Linked DNA regions of Struthio camelus. The protein of the gene in region 2 interacts with the protein of the main gene of each other region in a pairwise test. Links are inferred from orthologs where the notes say so. Each region holds a gene or a part of one and is shown on either strand. Other genes may lie near its edges. The genes, in order: RALB and EXOC2.

Evidence for each region.
Region 1: the proteins of EXOC2 (region 2) and RALB interact in a two-hybrid assay, tested with the Homo sapiens proteins (2 studies listed by BioGRID). The link is inferred for Struthio camelus from reciprocal best matches to the Homo sapiens genes EXOC2 and RALB.

Annotation. Positions count from the first base shown.
Region 1 is NC_090947.1:32,121,964-32,133,045, reverse strand, and holds the start of RALB (ras-related protein Ral-B), read right to left. Parts: upstream 4,824-11,082; 5' UTR 4,684-4,823; intron 271-4,683; exon of another isoform or gene 1-270. UniProt on the Homo sapiens protein: Multifunctional GTPase involved in a variety of cellular processes including gene expression, cell migration, cell proliferation, oncogenic transformation and membrane trafficking.
Region 2 is NC_090943.1:104,984,528-104,995,763, reverse strand, and holds the start of EXOC2 (exocyst complex component 2), read left to right. Parts: upstream 1-6,737; 5' UTR 6,738-6,872; intron 6,873-11,236. UniProt on the Homo sapiens protein: Component of the exocyst complex involved in the docking of exocytic vesicles with fusion sites on the plasma membrane.

The DNA.
Region 1 (11,082 bases), on a different chromosome or scaffold from region 2:
TTGTTCTGATGTACAAGTAACATATTACCACAAATGCTTTCTCAATTCTGCAAATCATATCTACATAACAAGGTATTTATTACATTAATGCTTCAGAGTACCTCAGTTTTCCTCTCACTCTCTTACAGGGAATGAAATAAAATAAGCATATATCTTTCAAAAACACCTATAGTTGCCATGCCTATAATCCCCACTGCTGCAAAGAACCGACGTTCCCAAAACGTTTCCTCTCTGTGCTGAATCAGTAGAAAAAGACAGTGATAAGTCTATATAAGAGCAATGACTAGTAATGAGATTACCAAAGTAGATGAGATGCATTCAGGTTTTCACTGAAAATGGGTTATTAAATAAATTTAATGTTTAAAATGGCACAACGTCCAATTAATGATAGAGGTTGGCTTGTTATACCCTCTCCTCAATAATAGATGAAGCAAGTATAACTCTTTCTACATCCACAGTTCAAGGCCCATGTTTTGTCAGACCTCTTGTCAAATGAGATAATAAACTATAAATTCGCCATTCTCATTCAGACTGTCCGTGAACAATTTCTGATTTTCTCAAGCTGACTCATCCTTCATAGCTATTAGCTGAACGGTTGCGGAAAGCGATTCTCTGCCCCGGGACTGTACACACACGTATTTCATTTGTAACATTTCTACGGTTTTGGTTAGTTTCGAACAGACACACAGACCACAGAGTATTGTTTCTATTCCTAAACTGGAAGAGAACAGCTAGACACATCTATAATTTCAAACCTTGTGTTTCACAAATATTACCTACTGTGCAATTAACATTTGCAGCTCCTCAAACATTATTACCGTTGCTCACATTTGGTGGGTTAGTCATAGGAGCTATAGATAAAAGGGGACATGAGTGAATAGTCACAGAAATATTTTCAGTTATTTGTAGTGCTTTGATTTGGTTTCAAAGTCTGTAAGAGTCACGGAAATCTTTTCTTCTGCCCACTTTGTGCCGGACAATTCATGTGTGGTTTTCAGCAACTCCCTTGTGAGGCAGCACCTCTAAGCCCTGGCAGGCACAGACGCGCTTTCTGAAGTCGGTGAGAAAAGCACCTTTGTCTCTAACCGAAACCGAAAGAGAAGCTGGAGCAGAACTCTGACCAATGACAGTTGACTACTGATGACCGATCCGTAGTGACAAGCGTAAAATATGCTCACAGTTAAAGAGAAGATAGACCCAAAAGGAAAACACCATGGTAAATTAGGAGCATTGACCTTGGGGAGGAGACAGAATGGCCTTCCTGGAGCTTCTCTTGTTGGCTTCTTACCTTGCACCTTCAGCCTAACCCTCAATTTAGCAGGCTAAATGTGTCTCTCCTGTTTCTTTACAAATACAACATGTTAAAGTGCTTTTGAGTTGCTGCCATATAGCATGCCAAAACTTATCGACTGATTTCACCACTTAGGAGCGCAATTTGCATTCAGCAATGAAATAGTTGAATTTTTAAGGTATTTTGTTGTTAACTTGCAATTAAGATGGCAGGCTGCTTGCCCAGCAATGTCCTACGCATTATATATGGCAAAAGTTCTTATAAAAATCTAGGAGCTGGCCACAGTCTTGTGCTGCTTGTCTTGCACATGCCAGAAATATTGTATGATACTAAGCACTGGATGAGCTTGCATAACAGACAGCTGTGTCTATACTCAGGTTTAATAGGGAGCAAGGCACAGCAATATTATTCCTCCATTCCCTTTCCTGACTCTCTCTCTCTCTCTTTTGCCTACATAAATATTTTCTGGTCCTATACAGAAAAGAAGTGGGTACCCACTACCAAACAGGTAAGATAGCGAGGACTGGAAAAAGCTATCTATGTCACAGCAGCACAAACAAATATGTGGACTATGCTCAGCAAAGCTATAAAGCTTTTGTTATATATTATCTTGTTATATACTTTCTTGTTATACCATTGGCCTGGTATATTAGGCATACCATTAGCCTGAACCCAGATACTATTCACTTAAACATATTTTTAAGGATTGTATCCCTTTTTGTACTGGTTTATTCAGAGATGACACAGCACGTAGTTCAGAACTGCACATCTAAGCAGATACTGCTTGAGATGCAATTGCTCTTCTGCGCTTCAGGCTACGTTTTCATTTAGTCATGACGGCATATCCAACAGTTTATATCTTTTGCTTTCTGCTGGGCAATAACTTTACTATGCTCCATTTATTAAAGTGGTGGATATCGCTTTGTGGAACTGCTGTTGAGAATGTGCTAAAAGGCATTGCTACATTGAAAGCAAAGAGACTGCTGTCAGTTTTGTGTTCCTTGTTTTTTAGCGGAGATGTGTTTAAGAGTACTTTTAAAGTTCAATATTATTGTAAACAGAATTTGTCCAGCTATAACCTGAAGCTACATCTGAGCAAGAAAGACTAAAAATGTCCTAACCAAAGATAGCAAGCGCTTTAGCTGCTTAAGAGAATTATAACGTAACAATCCCCTGTGCAACTGGGAACAATTATTTTAGTCATTTAAGAAGTTCTCTCAACTTCAGAGTTAAGTCTGGCTCGATGATTAAAATACAGGGCAAGGAACCAGGAGGCATAAGCTGGTTCCATTTTCAGCTTTAGCACTGTGACTCACTGTGTGATATTAAGTCATTTAATTTAACTGTCTCACTCTCTGTCTCACCTGTAAAATGAGGGAACCCACCTCACAAGTTCTGTGTGAGATTAATTAATTAAACATTTGCTGCTCACCTAAAAGTTCTTGGATGGAAGGTGGCAGAAAATTTATTATTAAACACATATGTAAACAGGATACAAGAGCAGAGCTGGGCAGTTTCTATAAAGGAAACGCACATCTCTTTCATCTGTGAATTTTTTAACCATGACAACAAAATAATTAACTACAGAAAAACCTGCCGGTGAAGCCCTTGACGAGAGTTTATAAATTGGAAAAACGTATAGCCACAAACGAGACACTGACTAAACTATAACTAACAGTAAAAATAAATGGTCATTCTTTAGTAGGGCACATAGTTCAAAGACTAAGGTAAACGTTCCCTGTTATGATCCATGAGCACATTTACCTCTAAGGGGAATGAAAAGCAGCGCTTGGTTGACATGCATCTTTATCAGGAGGCTCTAGTAGAAGTCACTGTCGGAGGCAGACTTCGGCAGTAGATGGGCTAATTATCGCGCCGAGTACAAAACTCTCAACTTTACTTAAACTAGGCAAGCAGCTCACTAGCCCATTTTTAGTATCTTTCCACTCTTACAATAACCACGTTGCAGGAAATGGCAGGAAATTAACTCTGTCAGCAATAGAAGAGGGTCCAGCAGCCTTTAAATTGAAGGTGATTCTCCACCGTACATTTCTTTACTGGAAAGCTCACAATACGGCTAAAATAATGAAAAGCAACTAACGTTGTTGTGTCAATGAGATGATCAAAACCACAGTGAGCAAACAAAAAAATGGATAAAGTAGCGTGATCAATGACATGTTCAAGGGCGACACGTTCCCTGTATGGCTTGCTTGTATCACCAAAGACTGTCTGGGGAAAAGGCACAACAGATTGGCACTTTTCCGAAGCCAGTTATTGTTATCTTATTTATTCACAAAAACAGCACTAGAGCTTTCTGTTGGTTCCACTCAAAACAGAGCGAGGCCTTCATGTAAAGTGCGATCCCTACTTTGTTTCACAAACCTTTTACAAACCTTTGGAGTGAAGTTGGTGTGTGTTACTCTACGACAGCAGTGTTCACAGGAAAAACCCAAGGCTTCTATCCCTTTAAGAGCAACTTTCTATCTGAATACATAACTTCTACAATATAATTTGGTAGATATACATGCAGATGGATTATTCACTTTAATTATAACATTCTTTATGCTGTGAATTCTGGAACATTATACTATTAAGCTATTTACATTTCACAAATATAACTATAAATATATAGTTTGTGTAACTAGTTTCTACTAAGTTAGCATTGCAGAGACATCGAAGATAAAAATTTAGACCCTCCCTCAGAATGGCAGAGACTTTACATTTAGCCCTTCTTTCATTCTGTGTTACAGAGCTAAAAGGCTAAGATGGAAAAGCACAGAAATAACAACAAGAACAACGACAAAAAGATTATGCAGTTATACTAAAAAGAGCCAATGACTCACTGTTAATATGTTTACTTGGCCTGTATGGCTTAGGGATGAGCAGGGATTACTACAGGAAACTAGCTCTTCTATTCTCTTTTTTTTGTTGTTGTTTATTACTAGCTAGCACTACTGCATTCATGAAGTCAAACATAATTAAGAATAAACAAGAGATACGTGTCATATAGCGTTAATACAATGCCACGTGCTCACTCAGGGCTGCTTGCGTGTACATTTAGCAGTTGTTTTTTCCTGTCTGTCCACAGCGAATGCTATATTGCCTTGCCGAGTAAATGCACCTTGTACCCCTCCTGCAACTAGCACCTACCCATAGTCCAGTCTTGGCACCCTGGGAGCCTCCTCCATTGCTCTATCCTGTTTGCTCACCCCAGGTGGGCCAGGAATCGCCTTTCTCTTCTCACTTCAGTGATGGGAAATAAAAGTGTGTTCTCCTTTCACTTGCCTTTGCGTCCTTAACTACGCCCGTACATAAATAGATACGCGCATGATCTTCCCCTGATGCAACTCGACAAGCTGGACTGACTGTTTGCTTTCTTAGCTGATACTCACTGTGCTTGGCGGGGTCGTCGGTCCTAGAGCAGCTCTTTCTTTGGGAGCGGGAACAAGGCAGGCAGAGGCAGCTCCACAACACTGCTCCACACCAGTTCACAGGATGACTGTGGCTGGACTCCTCCTAGTGCCTCAGAAAGCTGCAAGAAAAGGGAAGGGCTCAGGATATGATATCATGTGCTCATTCTGAAAACAAGGAAACTGTCGGAGATGATTGAAAAAGTAACAGCTTCAAAAATTCCTGAATGGCTGATGTCAGAAAAGTACTTTTCTGCTTCCCCCTCCCTGCCCTCTAATGAAAAGTTACAATAAATTCAAATGACAAACTTAGAAAACAATATTTACACTGCTACTAGGACTAGCCTAAAAGATGCATTACGGCTGAGCAACCTCAGAGCGCAGTTTACTGCTCTATGTCACTGTTCGTTGTCTGTGCTTATGTCTGATCTTAGGCTTTGATTTTGTTCCTGGAGCTATTCAGGCATATATTCCTGCCAGCCCCCAGCAATGTTGCCCCTCTGTAGCCGCTGTTGGGTTCGACCACAAGGACCCATGCGTAGCCATTCCTTGGCAGTACCCTGACCTGTTTATTGCCTTTCGCAGTGGAAGTAAAACCTTTATAAAGCACCCAAGTGGCTTGGGAATCTCGTTAAGATTTTTCTAAAGCAACGTAAGCAAATAGGCTTGTAAATCTCACTGAAAATCACTGTGGTTTTGCTAGGGCAAATTTTATCCCCTAGATCCCTTTCTAATTTAAAGCCTACTTTAGAAAAAATAACCCATTTACAATGCTATATCATTACAAATCTATTTCCCAAATCATCATTTATAGCCCTTAAAAAAGAAAAAAAAAACATTTTGAAGCAAAGCACATGTTCTAACTCAGCACAATTGTTCTTAACCTGGATTTAGCTTTGAAGTTTGCTGTTTCTATTTCAGATCCAAAGAAGCACCTGCATGCCTGGAAGCTCATCTGTTCTTTCCAGCTTTATCAATAGGTCTAATAAGTCACTCATTTTTTCTCTCAAATTGTCAGGATATTTTTGTTTTTGTTATGATCTCATAATACACTCTCAGCGGAAAATTTAGTACAGCCTTCGAGCACATAACATTTTTATGTTGTGTTTGGAATTGCTAAATTCTGTTATTGCTTTGTGCTTGCCTTTCCAATTTTTTTTTTGTGTTAATTTTTTTTTTTTAATGCAATTCATCTCAGATTCAGCATGAAGCCACCCATGAGTTTAGGACAGAGTGATATACTAGAGGTCACTATCATTTTCAAGCGCCTGTATTGGTTTTTGGTTTAAATACAAGCTTGGACTGGGGGAACCTTATCATACTAAAGCAGTTTAGTGATTGGGCTTTGCACGTTTCACTATTTGTCAGCCCAGCCCTTTCTACTGAGCTGTGCAAGAGGGTGTCGCTCTCTCAGTTCTGTTGTTTGAACAGAAATGTTTTGGTGCCAGGTTTCTTGTTCTGTTTGTGCCCTTTGCTAGCGGACTTTCAATTTCAGGAACTTGTTTTAGTGGAAGAACTATACTTAATAGTTATTAAACAACTGTTGGTATTATCAATACTTGTTCATCTAATGGTGATATGTCCCCTAAATAAACCTTCGAAAAGCACTAGTAGTAAAATCAACTGAAAGACACAAACATTTTGTTCCTAAAGATTCTAGGGACCTTTCCAATTATTTGTAGGTCAGAATCAAGTATTAATCATCCTTAGTTGCTCTTGGCAGTAAAGGCTAGTGCTATCTTAGATTGGGCAAACAATAAATTGTGGGTGAGGTTGAGGAGTTTGAATCAAGATCAGTAAGTACATTCGCTTTTGTAGAATTCGAGGGTTCTCCTGTCAAAAATTGGAATACATTTCTGTTCCTGTTGATTTTTAGTAGGATTGTAAACCCTGCACGTACCCTTACCCAGTAGATGATAGGTTTCAGAAGACACCCCAAAACAGTCTAGACTTGTCACAGGTCTGGGTTCAGTTTGGACATTTCAGATTTCTGGTCATTTGTCAGGTATCTACACAGTAAAACTCCAACTATAATTGGTTGTGTGTGTGTGTGTGTGTGTGTGTGTGTGTGTGTGTGTTGTCTATACTCTTAAATGCTCAGAGGACGATGGAGCTGGAACTGCTGCTTGCAATGAAGGGGGCAGAGGTACTGCTGGTCTGTTCTCACTCCTCTCCTGCCCCACAGGATGACTCTACAGCAAGGTTCTGGCTGCGCCACCTTAGTCATTACTCCGCCTGAGCTCTGCAGAGGTGGAGGTGCTGCCTGCATCCTGTTCCCATCTCAATCTGCAGGAAATAACATAGGTAGTATCTCAGCATAGTCTCTTTGAGGATATTTTGAAGAGAAGATACACATTAGTAATCAGCCTTGAGTCTGGACAGGTGAAGGAAGCCTAGAGTAACCACAAACATTGAGTCTGTCCTTGATTCTTTACTGATTTTACGTCCATCTGACTCCTTGGATTACCTCAGTGCAAGCAAGATGAGAAGCAGACTAATTGTGCACAATTCTAGTTTGTTTGCCTTGTATTCCTTTTTTTCTTGTCAGAAGACCATCTTTCTTTCTCTTGTATTCTTGTGTGTTTCCTCTTCTCCCTATTTTCCTTCAAGACTTAATTATAATTACAGAATCATAAATAATTTTGGTTAGAAGGAACCTTTGGAGATCATCTGGTCCAATCCCCACTTGAAACAGGGCTAACTTCAATGTTAGGTCAGTTTGCCCAGGGCCTTGTCAAGCCCAGGTCTGAATAATCTCCAAGGCTGGAGATTCCCCAGTCTCACTGGGCAACCTATTGAAGGGTTTGGCCACCCTCACTGTGAAGAGATTTTTTCTGTATATTTACCTTGAATTTCTCTTGCTGCAATTGTGTGTGTTGCTTTTCAGCCTTTCACTGTGCAACTCTGAGAATAGTCTGGCTCCATCCACTAAGCAGTAGAAGGCAATAATTATATGCCTCCTCAGCCTTCTCTTCTTCAGGCTGATCAAAGACAGCTCTCAGCTATGTCAGATGCTCTAGACACATAACCATCTTGGAGGCCCTCCGCTGGACTTGTTCCAATTTGTCAATCTCTCTTGTACTGAAGAGCTCAAAACTGGACATAGTTCTCCAGATATCATCTCACAAATGCTAAATAGAAAGGAATAATCACTTCACTCAACCACTTGACTGTACTCTTAGTAATTCAGCCTAGTAAACAGTCTTCATCACCACAAGGGCATGCTGTTGACTAGTGTTCAGTTTGTGGCCCATCAGAAACCCCAGATGCCTTTTTGCAGAAAAAAGTTTCTATTTTGCTAGTTGGCCCTGGCCTATTGCATGGGGTTATTCTGTTGATGGTGCAGGACATTGCATTTGCCCTTCATGAGATTTCTGACAACTCCTTTCTTCAGCCTGTCAAGATCCTTCTGAACAGCAGCCTTGCACTCCAGCACGTTGACTGTTCTCTCAATTTGGTGGTCATCTGTGAACTTGCTGAGTTCCTAAGTAGTGCCTGTGCTGGTTCTTGAATTACCACTGGACTTTAATGTAACAGGTTTATCAGAAATTCTAAGTGCTCATTGCTGTATGTTGTGAGACCTTGTACCATATGAACGGTGCTGTCTAATTTAATGTTTTGCAGTGTTATTATTTATATAGGTGATAGAAATGTGAGCAGATGCTTCTTAGAACTCAGCATTTTGATGCCAGTCCATGCAAAGGGTAACTCGCCTTCCTCTGTAAACATACAAGACTGTGGATGTTTCCCCGTGTTAACATATGGTATCTGGTAGACAGCCTGGATGGGGAGGTAGTTTGATGCTTGGGAAGGAAGTTGGAGGGAACCACAATAGGTGGAATGAGGAAAAACTGAGACTGTAGTGTTATAGACGGCAGTAGGAGAGAGAGCGGTGAGTAGCAGGAAAAGGGATCATGGCAGGGAAGGAAAGAAGAAAGGGATGCTTTCAGGCCAAGGAAGGTGGTGTGTGGGAGGATAACTTGGATGACCAGAAGGCAGCAGGACCATAATTAAAATGGTCACCACCTCCAGATTTGGGTACCTCTTACATCCCTAAATAAATCTTCAACCTTGTGCCATAGCTAAAAATACCTTGGCAGTGCTGGCAAGAAGTTGATTACAGGAGCCTGCAGATCATTCTGCTTTCTTAGGTTCCTTGTGCAATTTCAGTCGGATAGTACAGATCACATTTAAAATACTGCAAATATTTTGGTCTGCAGTTGTGTTCTTTTCCAAAGAAAGTTGCAAGTGGCACAGATCCTGCAGCATACAAACACAGACACACATGATATTTATACTGATGCATACATATATATATTTAAACTCAGTTTAGATCACCGTTAACTCTCAAAGATCCCTGGACTGAAAGGTGCTTTATAAACATATGCTAAGATTGTTACTCACGATAGCACTGAGGAGTTGGAGCAATCATTAGAAATTTTAACAATGAGCACTAGGAAGCGTAAATCATTTACCAGCATTAATAAAAAAGAAAAGAAAATAAACTAGAGAAGAATTACTTTTCCTTTGGTGATTATTTCATTGCTCAGAACAAAAATCAGTGCGACTGTTAAAATGCTTTCAGGTGTCCTAAAGCACTGCTGTCCTAAAGTACTGCTTTTTGCAGTAGCAGAAAGCAAAGTGGAATATGGATATCTGAAAAGAGGGAAACAGACTTAGACAAGGGTGAGATGAGTTTGTATTCCTAGGAACTGAAGTCTAGGTGGTTTAGAATGGAATGGGAAAATATTACAGAAATCATGCTTAGTGACGTAAACATGTTAACTGATTAATTCTCACAGTAACCTTGGGAATTAGGGAACGTTTATGCCTTTTTGACAGATGGAGAAACACGGACACAAAAGGCTAAGTTCATACCAAGATCTTTGCCAGCTTCTCTCAAGCAGCTTGCAAGGCAGAAGATCCTTCCCTGCAGAAAGCCTACAGCTACGGATACTTCTCCAGGTTTCCCTCTGTTTCTATGGGAGAACAGAGAGGGTCGAAGTTGTTCCAGCTCTGCAACAGACTTAGGTGTGACGGATGTCAGGTGCTGAATCCCTGCTCTCCCATTTACCCTTTCCACTAATGGTCTGTGCAAGAAATGTCCCAGCCTGTCTTCAACACACACTCTCTTTTCTCCTAGTCCTGAGTCGATACAGGAGTGCTAAGTTGTCTTAGATATTTTCACAAGGGAAATTATCCAGTCTAAATCTCATGTAACTCTATGTTCATTTTGAATTGTCCTAATTAATCAGTAAAGTGGTAATGTGGTAACCAGAACTCACAATGGCTAAAGGTAAGTAGAGACTAAAGAAGTCGTTACCTTCCCATTCAATAAGCATTCATTAAAATTAAAATACCAAACTGCTGCTTTTTCTTCAATTCTTCTAACTAACCACACCTGCTAATTCATATGGTCAGCTCTGCCTTGTCTTTGCCCTGCTTTCCCAAAGTCTCTCAAAATAGAAAGACTCGATTATTTGCCAGCTAAAACAAACGCAGTTCATTTTCCACTAATATTGGTAAACGCAATTCAAATGCTGTCAGCCTTAGCTGTTTGGAGTGTCTGTGTTCACCTCCTAAATAGCACATTTGCAAGAGGCCCAGACAGAAAAATGTCTCTGGAAGCTCTCTTCACTGTGACTTCTCTCTATGACGAAATATTGTTGAAACAAATCTGGAGACAAACGGGACCTCAGCACTTTAACTTTGTGCATTCTAGTGCACCTAGAATGTTAGGAGTTTTAAACCTATGAAATCTGTCACAAAAAAACAAGGCTGCTAACACCTCTGGCTAAAGGAAAACCTTCATTAATCTTAACAGTCGAGGGACTACTCAGTATGTTCACTACTCATTAACACCATGGAGTTTATAAAGTCCCTGCTTCCAGTTTGCCGTGATGAAGCACTAAACTTGCTTAGTTCAAACCCACACAACATCAGCCTGAACTGCTGGACACAATCTTTGTGTCCCAAAATCCCAAGACCATCTGAGCAGTGTACAGATTACTGTTCCCACATCAGTTCAAAAGCACTCACGTGAGCTGAGAATCTCGAACTGAACCTCAGCTTCGGTCACGGACCTGAAACTCGAATGCCAGAATGCGAGAACCCTCCACTTGCTTGTTCCTGTTTTAATTTCACCAAGCCCTACAAGCTTCTAGTTTAACCCATTCAGGGGAAAAGGGGAGGAAGACAAAAACTACCTGTTCAGCAAAAGATTTTCTTTGTCATCACTTCCTCACTCTTACAACACCTCTAGAGGTACAGATCTTTGGAAAATAAGAAGTGATCCGTATTTGCTCAGTCTGATCTCATCTTACAGCTTCCAGGTTTTATCAGCATTTCAGGTGAGACAGTGCCTCATGCTGCTCTCACCAG
Region 2 (11,236 bases):
ACATATTACACAATTGTAACAGCAAAATGCATCTGGCCCCAAAGTGCTTGAAAAATAAAACTGTGTTCCTGCAAGGAATTACACAGGCACGTGGAACTGCAGACTGGTAGCCACTCCGGCAAGCAAACACTCGTAGCGGCAAACTCCTGGCCAGCCTTGGGCTGCTTGTCACCTCCTCTCTCCACAGAAACGCTGCCACCTCAAGTGTCCACAGAGCCATTTAAACAACAGGAGAGGTATGGTCACTTCTAGTGGAGGAGCAGCAGGGGCATGTGGGAGATACTGAACTGTCCTAAATGTACACTTCCGTTCCACATAGGAGATATAATCACTGCCCTGACTCAAAATAATTTCAGAAGTCAGTGAAAAACTCTGAGGAGAAGCTTTTCCATGTTTATTCCTTAAAATATGAAAACAAAAGCAGTCGTGCCAGACTTTGGGACAGAATTTCGCCTGAGATTGCAACGACAGAAAATGTAAAATGGTCTATTGAACTGGTATTTTTTTCCTTTGAGAAAGAAATGTGCCATAATTTTAAGTAGTTTTAGCTTTCAATTTTTTTTTTGGATCTACTTTTTTAAAATACACATAAGTGATGAAGGTTAGTTCCAAGAAGTATTTAAACGGATGCAACTTACTACTGACATCCTTGACAGAGCTGTAGTATACAGCATTCAGTATTTTTAGCTGCACAAAGTAAATTAATAATTTATTTCATTGGTGCTGTTTAGAGAAACAGTGCCTCTGGGTCAGTAGTGCACAGATTCCTTGGATAGGCCTTGAAAGGGAAGAATTAGGGTGGTGTTAGCCAAGAAAGTAAAACAGAGAGAGAATTTTGTGTACTGTTGGAGACGGTTTAAAATGTAAAAGACTATATTTTTTGTTTGATGTGGAAAATCTGACTGTATGTGTTCTGGAGGAAAACTCAAAATGTTATGTGCATTAATTTATATTTTGTTTCTCTTAAAGCATGCCAGAAATCATCTGGGGGCAAACACTGATCAGTAAGTTGTTTCTCTCTCTCTCGCCTTCCAGCTAAGATAAATATATTTCACTTCATAATGAGGACTTCTGGCTTAAAATCCTAGATAATGGTCAAAATGCTGCCAAGGTTAAAATGCCAAAAAGAATTTACTTCTGGACCTATTTATTTAAAAAAGAAATAAAAGCATAAAATTTAAGTAGCTCACTTCCTGGATGTTGGTTTCAGAACATATATCCAGGTGATTTTCAATTAGGAGGAAGCAGAAAGCAGCTGGCCTTGGGTATTAAATGCAACACAGGAAATATGCCTGGACTTGGGAATATTTGTATGAATTTTGCATAAAATATACGGCAACTGCTAAAAGCCAACATCTGCAAGAATGTTCCGTCTATGGATCAAGGGGGAAAAAAAAGCAAAGTAGAAACAGCAAAGTGAAGAAACCTTGTGCAATGATTATAGATTTCCTACAGCAGGTAAAGAAGGGTTGGGCTTCTTGGCTCTGCTCCTGGTTCTACTACCATAACTTTGGCAAGTTACTGACCTCTGGTTCAGAAGACACCACTCGTTGGCGTGGAACTAGCCCTGTTGATTTCAATCAGGTTTAAAATTACGTACACATAGAAAAAAAGGAGGAGCTAGAGAATTATAGATCGTATAACCTCAGTCTGCAGAAATAATCGCGCAAACAATCTGTTAGTGTTAGAAGAAAACGTGACATGGATTTGTCACAAACAACTTCTGTCAAACCAATCGGATTTCCTTTTACAATAAGGTAATAGGTGTTGTACACAGGGAAGAAGTAGGAAAATGTCAGGTATCTTCATTCTAGTAAGGCATTTGTGAATGTTTCCCAAATGTAAGAAAAGACATGTATGTTCTGGGTTGAAAATCCGACAGGATTGGAAAAAGAATAGTTGGGGAAGAGTTAGCAAAACGGTACACTATCAAAATGGAAAGAGATAGTGAAAGATTTTCCTGCAGGGTCTATCCTGAATCTGATGCTGCTTATTAAACATCTGAATAATAGAAGAAATTAAGCTTGTTACAGTTGCAGAGGACATGAAGAAGAGAGCAGCTAATAGTGTATTAGAGAAGAGAATTAGAATTAAGAGTGATTTTGACAAACTAGAGAATTTGTTTAAATAAAGCCAAAGAAGACAGTACTCGATAGGTGCAAGCGTAGTATATTGCACACAGAATCATCCATTCCCCAGAAACAGGAAGGGAAAAAGTAAACATGGTTACAGTTGCATAGAAAAAGATGTAGAGTGAATCACAGGCCAAACACGAGTCAACATTGTTATGCTGTTGTCAAAAGGCAAATGCCGTAAAAGCATGTAGGAACAGGAAGATAGCCTGCCAAATGTGCAAAGCAATTGTTTTGCTCTGCTCACCAATGGTGAGACTTCAGCTGGAACTAATTCTCTTTTAAATGTTTTTCACCTGGAGCACACTTGGCTTTGGGCATTGCATTTACAGAATGACATTGAATGATTGGAGAAGAGTCCAGAAGAGATCAAGCTCGATTACCAATCTAGAAAATATAAAACATGAGGAGACTAATGGGACTGTTTGGCCTAAAGAGGAAAAGAATGTAGAGGGGACAGAGTCTTTAAACACGTAAGAGGCTGGTTCAGGGAGGAAGCAAACAGTCAGTCTGAGTCCAGTGAAGACAGAACTATCAGCAACAGACTGAAATTGCAATAAGGAATATTCAGGTTACACATTAGGAAAAATGCCCGTAATGATAAGGGTAGTAAAGCAATGGAATATATTGCCTGAGGAGATGATAAAAGCACCATACTGAGAAGTCTCTAAGAACAAGACTGAAAAAACATTTATGCTATAACAAAGGAATAGTTGATCCTATCTTGCGGTAAGGAAAAGGACGAGAAAAGATGATTTCTCGATATCATTTTCAGCCTTATGAGCCTTAGCTTTTTTCTGTTCCTTAGATTTCACTAATTCACTAATAATATTAAACTCACAAAAGCAAATACAAGCATGGAGAGTTCTGTTTTTGATGTTCCCACGTCAAGAAAAGAAGGGTGACAGCTGTAAGTTTGAAAGCCTACGGGAAGGAAAACAACATTTCTCTGGAATGGCTGTTACACAGTAAGGAATCAAAATTGAATCCATATAGTTTATCAAGAGAAGATGAAGGAGTGAATCCACTATATTTTACAAGTATCTTCAAAAGGAAGACATTTCCGATAACAAAAAGCAATCTAGGAGCAGAAAAATGCAACAATCAGATGCTGAAGCTAGACAAATTTAGCTTTCAAATAAAATTTATATTTGTGTCCATTATTTTTTTCATGTTAGGGTGACTAATCACTGTTAAATCTCAGGAAATACAGCGATGCATTTCCCATTTCTCCCACTCTTTAAAATCAAACGTAGATGTCTAAGAAACAACCACACGAAGAGCTTGGTTTGGGAATGGCTGCAGGAATGTCTACAGCTTTTAATATTCAGGTTAGACAAGATGATCACAATAATGCCTCTTGGCTTTCAAATCTGTTTATCCAACTTTGTAAAGAGATGTATTGTTTGCAGATCACTGTCAAATCTGCATAAATGGATTAGCAAAAGGCATGGATGAGCAATTACTTTTCTGACCTCTTTGAGGTATAATACACTTACTATTTACCAGGACATTATGTTACAACTTGTCATTTCTTTCCTCAATTTTAATAGCATAGATTAATCTCTTTAATGGTGCCTGGAGTTCCATGGAGTAATATATTTATATTAACAGCATTATACACGACAGCATATATATATACTACATATTATGATCTCTCATATTTATGAGATATATACATATATGGATGGATGGATGAATGGATATAATAAGAGCACTAATTTTCCTCCATTTGTCCTGAAGATATGTGAGGCAGGGTTTATTTTCTCCACTGGGTCCAATCCATAGTCAGTTACTGTCACCTTTGTTTTGGAGACACTGAATGGGGAGGTGATGGTAACCACATGGTCATTGTACATCAGCTGGAAAAAAATACCCACTGTAGATTCAGTGAAGCGCTGCACACAGGAGCGCTCCTCATCGGCTGCCTTATCCAGGCCCCCTGGAGATCATAAAAGTCCTAGATGCCACTGTTGGCAGTAGGAGAATTTGCGTATGTGTATGCCTGAGATGAACCTACATATACTATAGGTAAGGTTTCTGTTGTTGCTGAGTTTACTCGGGTTGTGCTGTTCTGACAGGTTCACCAGGACAAAGATCTGAACAAAAATATGGCCAAGCAGCAGCTGAGAAAAAGCTTGTTTAAACCTCTAAAAATGAAGGGAAGAGAGCTACTAAATTCTGGGCTGTTTATTGCAAAATCTTCTCCGCAGATAGCTCCTTTATGGACCCCCACTAAAGTCAACAGGCTTTTTTGGGCACAGGTATCCACTCACAGAAAGCATTTGGCAGGGCTAGGACCCAAGTGTGTACAGTATGAGACGGTGCCTTCTGTATCAACCAAACCTTTCAATTTAGTGGTTTTATTTGGCACATCTGCTGACAAGCTTCTAATGAGATGATGCTAACAGAATGTCATGAAAGAAAAGCATCATTTTGAAACGGGTGGCAAATAGATTTTTTTTTTTAATGTCATGCCAACTTTACTTTTTGTGCCAACTTTTCTTAACCTCATATTTGCAAAAAAACTGCTGAGTCACAAATAATAACTTTGGAAATTATTAGGGACAGGTACCAAACACTCTCATTGTTCCCCAGATGGATGCTATGTGCTGACTTAAACGAGCAAGAAGAAAGAGTCAGAAAAGCACTGTTTGTTCATGTGCTGAGATATTACAGCCTAGTAACGTAGCTTGGGCAACTCTCACCTCTGGAAAAAAAAGTCAGAGAAATAACTTTTCTTGGCCATAATGCTTCTTGAAAGTTCTTTGAGGTTTTATGAAAGTTAATTTATTTTCCCACAAAGTATATGTTAGGTCAAGGTCAGTGAAACTGAGCAACTGATTATTCCTTCTGTGTTTGCTTTCTGTTTTCCCTCTCCTTTCCACTTAGACTCCATCTGAACTGGGTTTTTACAGATGAATTCCAAACAATCCTAGCAAAAATGGAAAAAGGACAATCCTCCTGTCCCTTCCCAAAAAGGAAAAGAGCCTCTGTTCAGAGGTGTCTTGGGGAGACAGCAGGTTTAGTTAAAAATATTCTAATTTTTTTCATTGCAAAATGAAGATTCTTTTGCATTACTTAGCTCTAACAGATAGCATTGCCTGCCTGCTCACTTGGCTGCCAGACAGCCCAGGCTTCCCCAGCATCCACGGCAGCTGTATCCTGTTTCTGACCAGCTCTGCGGAGACTGCGGTAGTTCCAGAAAGTCGCTGCCTGGGGTGGGGTCAGCCCATTAGAGGAATAACCTGAAAAAAAGCTTCCATAAGTCTCCTAAAGCAGAATTTTACAGGTTTCCCCCCTTCAGTTCTGAGGATATATATATATTTCTGACAGATCGGATGAAAAATCTTGTTATCGCTCCTGACCTCAAAATAAAATTTAAAGGGGAGGGAAATTCCAGCTTGTTGTCCAGCTCAGGCCATTCAGCATTTTAGAGACTGAGCAACTTAAACTATACTCAGAAGAACCATGCAGGCAGTGCAGTGTTGCTGTAAATAAGCTCAGGGCTAGATCTGCTATGCACTTAACTATACGCAAAGTCTGACAGAGCTGTATGCCTGACTCTACTCATCTGGGGAGTAATGGGAGAAGGGTCAGACACAGCAAGGTTAGGCCAGAAATGCCCACTTTAGGTCTGGCTGGGATAGATCCTTTGGGGTTTTTTTTGTTTTATTAATAAATTTTAAAGTGATTTTCTGAAGAAGAATATTTGCAAACCAAAAAGTCACCCCGCGGCTACACCTCGACTCTGGACTTGCCTCCAAAGGCAATTGATACCGACGTTTTTATCTGGACACAGGCACAAGTGGTCCCCAGCCCTGGAGGCACCATGGCCATCCCTTTCCGTGCCGTGACCACACCTGCAGTTTACAGACAAAACTCAGGCATGAGGCGACCAAGAGAAGCAAGAAAACCAACCGCCCCACCAACCAACTGCCCTGCTCTCCACCCCCACGCATGTTTCTTCTTCCCCACCTTCCTCCCGCACACAGTCAAACAGCCCCCAAAGTCCCAGGCCCGGAATCTCATGCCAAAAACACGGAGGTCCCCAAATTCCACACACTTCTGGAAGAATTTCTGCTTGCTGCAACCTCGATACAGCGCTCGGGGAAAACCAAATCTTTATTATTGTTACTTCTATTACGTTTTGTGCTTTTTCATTACTCTGTTTCACCTCCTTTTCCACAAGAGGACCAACTCTTGGTGCTCGACGGCACCTTTATTTGCTGGCTGCTTGTTTCCAGTGTGTGCGGGGGGGTGAGGGGAAGGGAGGTGTGGGGTGTGAAGCGGAGCACGGCGGGGGGTGGGTTTGGGGTGTGCAGGACGGCAGGTGTGGGCTGTGAAACTGTGGGGTGTGAAGTGGTGTGGGGGGGGCAGGTGTGGGGTGTGAAGCGGTGCGTAGGGGGCCGGCGTGGGGTGCGTGGGTGGATGTGGGGGGCTTGGGGTGTGCGGGGGGCCGGTGTGGGGTGCGTGGGTGGATGTGGGGGGGGCCGCAGCCAAGGCTCCCTCCACCAGCCCGACTCCGCCAGACGCCACGGTCTGCGCCTTTAAGGGGGCGGGGCTTGGGAGCACGACGGCCGTTGGGAGCGGCCGCTTCTCCTCGATTGCTCCGGGTTCCATCGATTTTATCGGGCAGCGGCTGCAGGTGCCTGTGTCTGCCGGACGCGGAGGCGCTGCTGGGAGCGGAGCTGCCCCAGGTGCCGGATACAAACTCGGCGGCAGCGGCGGCGGCGGCCGGTGAGTGACAATCTGTGGCCTCCCGCCCCCCTGTGCTTCCGCTGGGCTCTGCGGAGCCGGCTCTCAGCGGGGCAGCTCCGGCTTCTTCCCCCCGCTGGGGCGGAGACCGTTGCCCTGCCGTCGGCAGCCCCGTCTCCTTCCTCCCCTCCCGGGGGAAAGGGGGGGGGGTCGGGCTGGCGCCCGCCGGGCGGGGTTGAGTGCCGCGTTCCAAGCCCCGCCCCTGCCTCGGGAGCGGGGACGGAGGTGCCGTTAACGGCCGTTGGGGCCGGGGCGGGGGGAGGTGGAAGGAGTCGTTTGTTCTCTGCCGTCTCGCGCTTTGAGGCCTCCCTCGAGGCACCTGCTGGCTCCGCCCCGCCCCAGGGGTCCGCCGCTACCTGTCCGCCCCGGCTTGTCTGCCTGAGACTCGGCCCTGGGCGGGGGGAAGGGGGACGGCCGGGCCGCCTGGCGGGGGAGGGAAACTGTGACTGCCCGGCTTCAGCAGCCCGCCTGCCCTGCCCTGCCCCCAGCCAGCTGACGGGAGGCAGGGCACCGCTGACAGGGCAAGGAGATGCGGGCTCGTTTGCGGCCCCTCCGGGAGGGGAGGGTGCGCCCGCGGTGTCTTGCTCCCAGCTGGGTGTTTGTGTGGGGGACGGTGCCCGGGAGAGGTTACACTCGAGCCAGGTAGTGCTCTGTCTCGGCTCTATACCGAGAGGGAGCTTGTGAGGGAGCTCTTTTCGGGGGCTTGTGGGACAGGCCCTGAAAGCCTGCGGACAGAGTGTCATGTAGAGGGTTTTACCCGTTTCATTCCTCACAATGGTCTCTCGGGAACACTGTAAAGTTGCTTCTGTTCCGCCTTGGTTATACCCTGAACTGAGACTTGTCTAGAACGACCTTAAATTATTATTGTGACCGTGTTGGGCACGGGCAGTAGAGGAAATAAGCAGGGGAGGGCACGGTCTGACTCCTGAAGAGCTGGTTACTCGAGGGTCTGATTTCTTAAATCCACATTCAGTGGTACGGCAAGTTTTCAGAAACTGCTTACCGAAATAAATGCACAATTAGGCAAATATAATAAGAAGACAGTATAATGTAGTTTGTTTGGAACAAACCAAAATAGCATATAATGATTAAGAGATGATTACTATCATTGATAACTAACTGGTAGTGATACATTGCCTCCACATGATACATTTTTTTGTGACCTTTTTTTTTCTTTTTTTGTCCTTTCTGCCCAGATGTAAATTTCTCCCTCACTTGGACAGCATTGCAGTCCAGAAGGGTCTATGAGCTGGTGACCAAACGTCTTCCCTCCCTGCTTCTCCAATATTTTAACTGGGAAGCTGAATAGGATATTTTTTCAGGGGGAATGGATGTCTGAGCACGGGAATGACCCTGTTTCCAAAGGAGAGCTTGTCATTCTCTCCAGGTTCACTGCTTGCTCTTTGTTAGATTAACAGTTTTTAACTATATACTAGAAAGCTTTGAAGTGAAAGCCAATAAAGTATTAAGCAATCTTAGCTCTGACAGACCATCATATTAAATCTAAAGTATGAATATCCACACTTTAAATTTTAGTTTAAAATAGTAGTCTTATTATAACTTCCCTGACTTTCTGATCATTCTTAAAATAAGTAAACTTTTTTCTTCCTGTAATGATTTGTGTGTGTTTCAGTACTATAAACCTTTTGGTTTGAATTTGCTTTTGATAAAGTCATCAGAATAGTTAAAGGGCTTCTTTTTTTTTTTTTTTTCTCTAAAGTGCAGATGAACAACTTTGTGACTTAGGAAAAAGGTCTATTTTCTTCTTCAGGTGAAGAAGAAAATAGCTGTTTGATTCTTGCTATCTGTCACAACTTGCACTGACCCAGCAAGAAGCAGCAAAAGGCGTGCCCTGCTGCTGCGTTCTTTCCCATGGATAGCTTAGTTTACAGTTTTTGTGGTTTATGCCCGCCCTCGGAAAATGATGCTTTTACTCATATGGGATTTTTGTTGTCTTAATATTCATATGAAACAGGATGCGATTACTTTCTTTATGCTAGTGTGACTTATGTCAGTAAAAATGCCACTAATTTACATTGTAATGCCAAGTTTTTTTTCCTCTGTATGGGAAATTTAGTCTTTTTAGTATGTGTCAGAGGTGAAGCTATTTAATTAAAGCATGTTACCAATCAAACGTGTGTGTTTTTTTTTTTTTTGATACAGTAAGGTAGAGTTGTCTTGGGTTTTCATGGTCTTGGTTCAGTAAATCACACTTTTTCAGAGACTTAGTTCAGACACTTAATTCTTTTATATTTGCTTTATCAGAAATTCGTAGTAAATAGCCTAAGCAATGGACATTTTTCAAAATCAATCAAAAACTCCTTTTAAGTCTAAGTCATTAACTTAAACAGCAAGAAATAACTTTAATAACTAATTCAACACCTTGTCCTTTGAGCAGTGTTTTTGTGTGCGCGTGGGGAAACTGGTTCATTTTCAGTAAAAGAGGTAACTAATGTTCACAGAATAATTTTGAATCTGTAGCATTCAGATCTTAGTATTTTGAGTAGCAGGATTTCTTGCAATTCTGAAGCATTTTTTTTTTTTGGTAGCTGTTGAGAGTTCTTGAGGCAAAAACAGACAATAAAGATATAACATGTAATCTACTGATAGTTTGCCCAAGGTCCCATTAGAAAGGATCTGTATCCACTGATAATTAATGCAGTTTGTTCTTATGCTGCTCCTCCCAATGAAGTTGAACTAAAGCAATTAAGTGGGTAGACTAGAAACACAGAGTCCACGGCCTCTTAGTGGTGAAAATTTTAAGGTATGTTGTGTTAAACCTTACTTTAATTTATTTCAATGTATTTATTCATTTAGCTGTAAATTCAGTACGTCTTAAGCACTACACTTGGAAATAAACGTCAATTTTGAGTTACTTTAATTCTATTCCTTCTGGTCTTTACCCCTGAATCTACTTCATTAAAAATAAATAAATAGAAATTGCAATAGGATGGTGACAGAAAGCTGAATGTAAAAGGTGTTTTTAAAAGCATGGATGCTGACAGCTATTCAAAGAATACATGAAACAATGTCCAGTTTTGTATTCCAGCACAAAACAGGCCTATGAAAGTCTGAGGGACATTACCTGCTTGTATTTTGAATGGCTGTATGTCACTACTTAGTTATGTAAACAAAGGTACATTTAAAAAAAAAAAAAAATTCCACACAAGAAGTTTGTAGTACTTCATTTCAAAATGAAGGACTCGAAAATAGCATTTAGAAGAATGCATGTGTAATGCTGCATTTATTTCTGAGAGCTTCTCAGTAAGAGTGGAACCTGCTGGTGTACTTAAAAGTCAGCTGAAGGTTCAAAATCTTCTGAAAGAACAGCTAAGTAAATATATTTCAGCAGTAATAAGACATTCACTCTTCAGCTTTTCTTTGATTTGTCTTAGACTGTCTACTTTCTGTAAATCTGTGGTGTGTAACATTGTGTTTCAAATCGCTTTTTCTAAGAATAGGGAAAGGGTGCTTGGCAGTGAAGGAGATTTTGTTTGCAAAGGTGCTTGTAGGATGAAGGATGACTAGATAGTGCATGCACAACAATCTGTGTTTACAGCTCACAAAGTATCAATTCAGAGATAAAACTGATCTAAATTGTCTTTATACCTTAATCTGGAATTTATTCCCTATTGCTTATGTGTCTGTACTTCAGTTCAAAAGCAATTGGTTTGCAACTTGTTCTCCTGGTGTCAAAACTCTAGAGGAAGAGGAAAGGACAGGAGGGAGAATCTCATTCTGTGATCTTCTAAGAAAAGAAACCTGAAGCGATTTTTCAAAAAAAAAAATTGAGTAATTATATAAACGTGTAAAAAAAGGATTAATTGCATGATTGGTATGTTGCAGTTTGGAATAGGAAAAATAATCTTAAATATTTAATGTTTTAAGGAAAACTAAACTGAAGATCTCTCTCTCTCCAGTGTATTTTGAGTATAGGGAGAAATTATTTTTATGTTTACTTTTTATATTATTTAGAAAGTATTTAGTGCCTTTTCTTTAAAAGGAAATTGATCAGTAGCCTTTTTTAAAAAAAGAAATGTTAACTAATCAATGCAGACATTAAGTTCGACATTTTCAGTAGAAAATACTCGGATTGCACTCACAGATGGGTGTGAAATCCTGTGTTTCCTTTCCATGTTTGTTTGTTTTGTTTTTAAGGAAAACAAAACTTCTAAGACAACAAGCCCTTAATGGATCTATTTTTCCCTTGACCTTAAGGGAACTACAGATTTCCAGTTTAATTCTCAAAAGCAGACTTTAGACTGTATTCCACAGAAGCCAGTGGAGGAGATTCTGGCAATGCAAAAGTCTCTGTGAATCAGCTAAGTCTAAATATACCAACATTT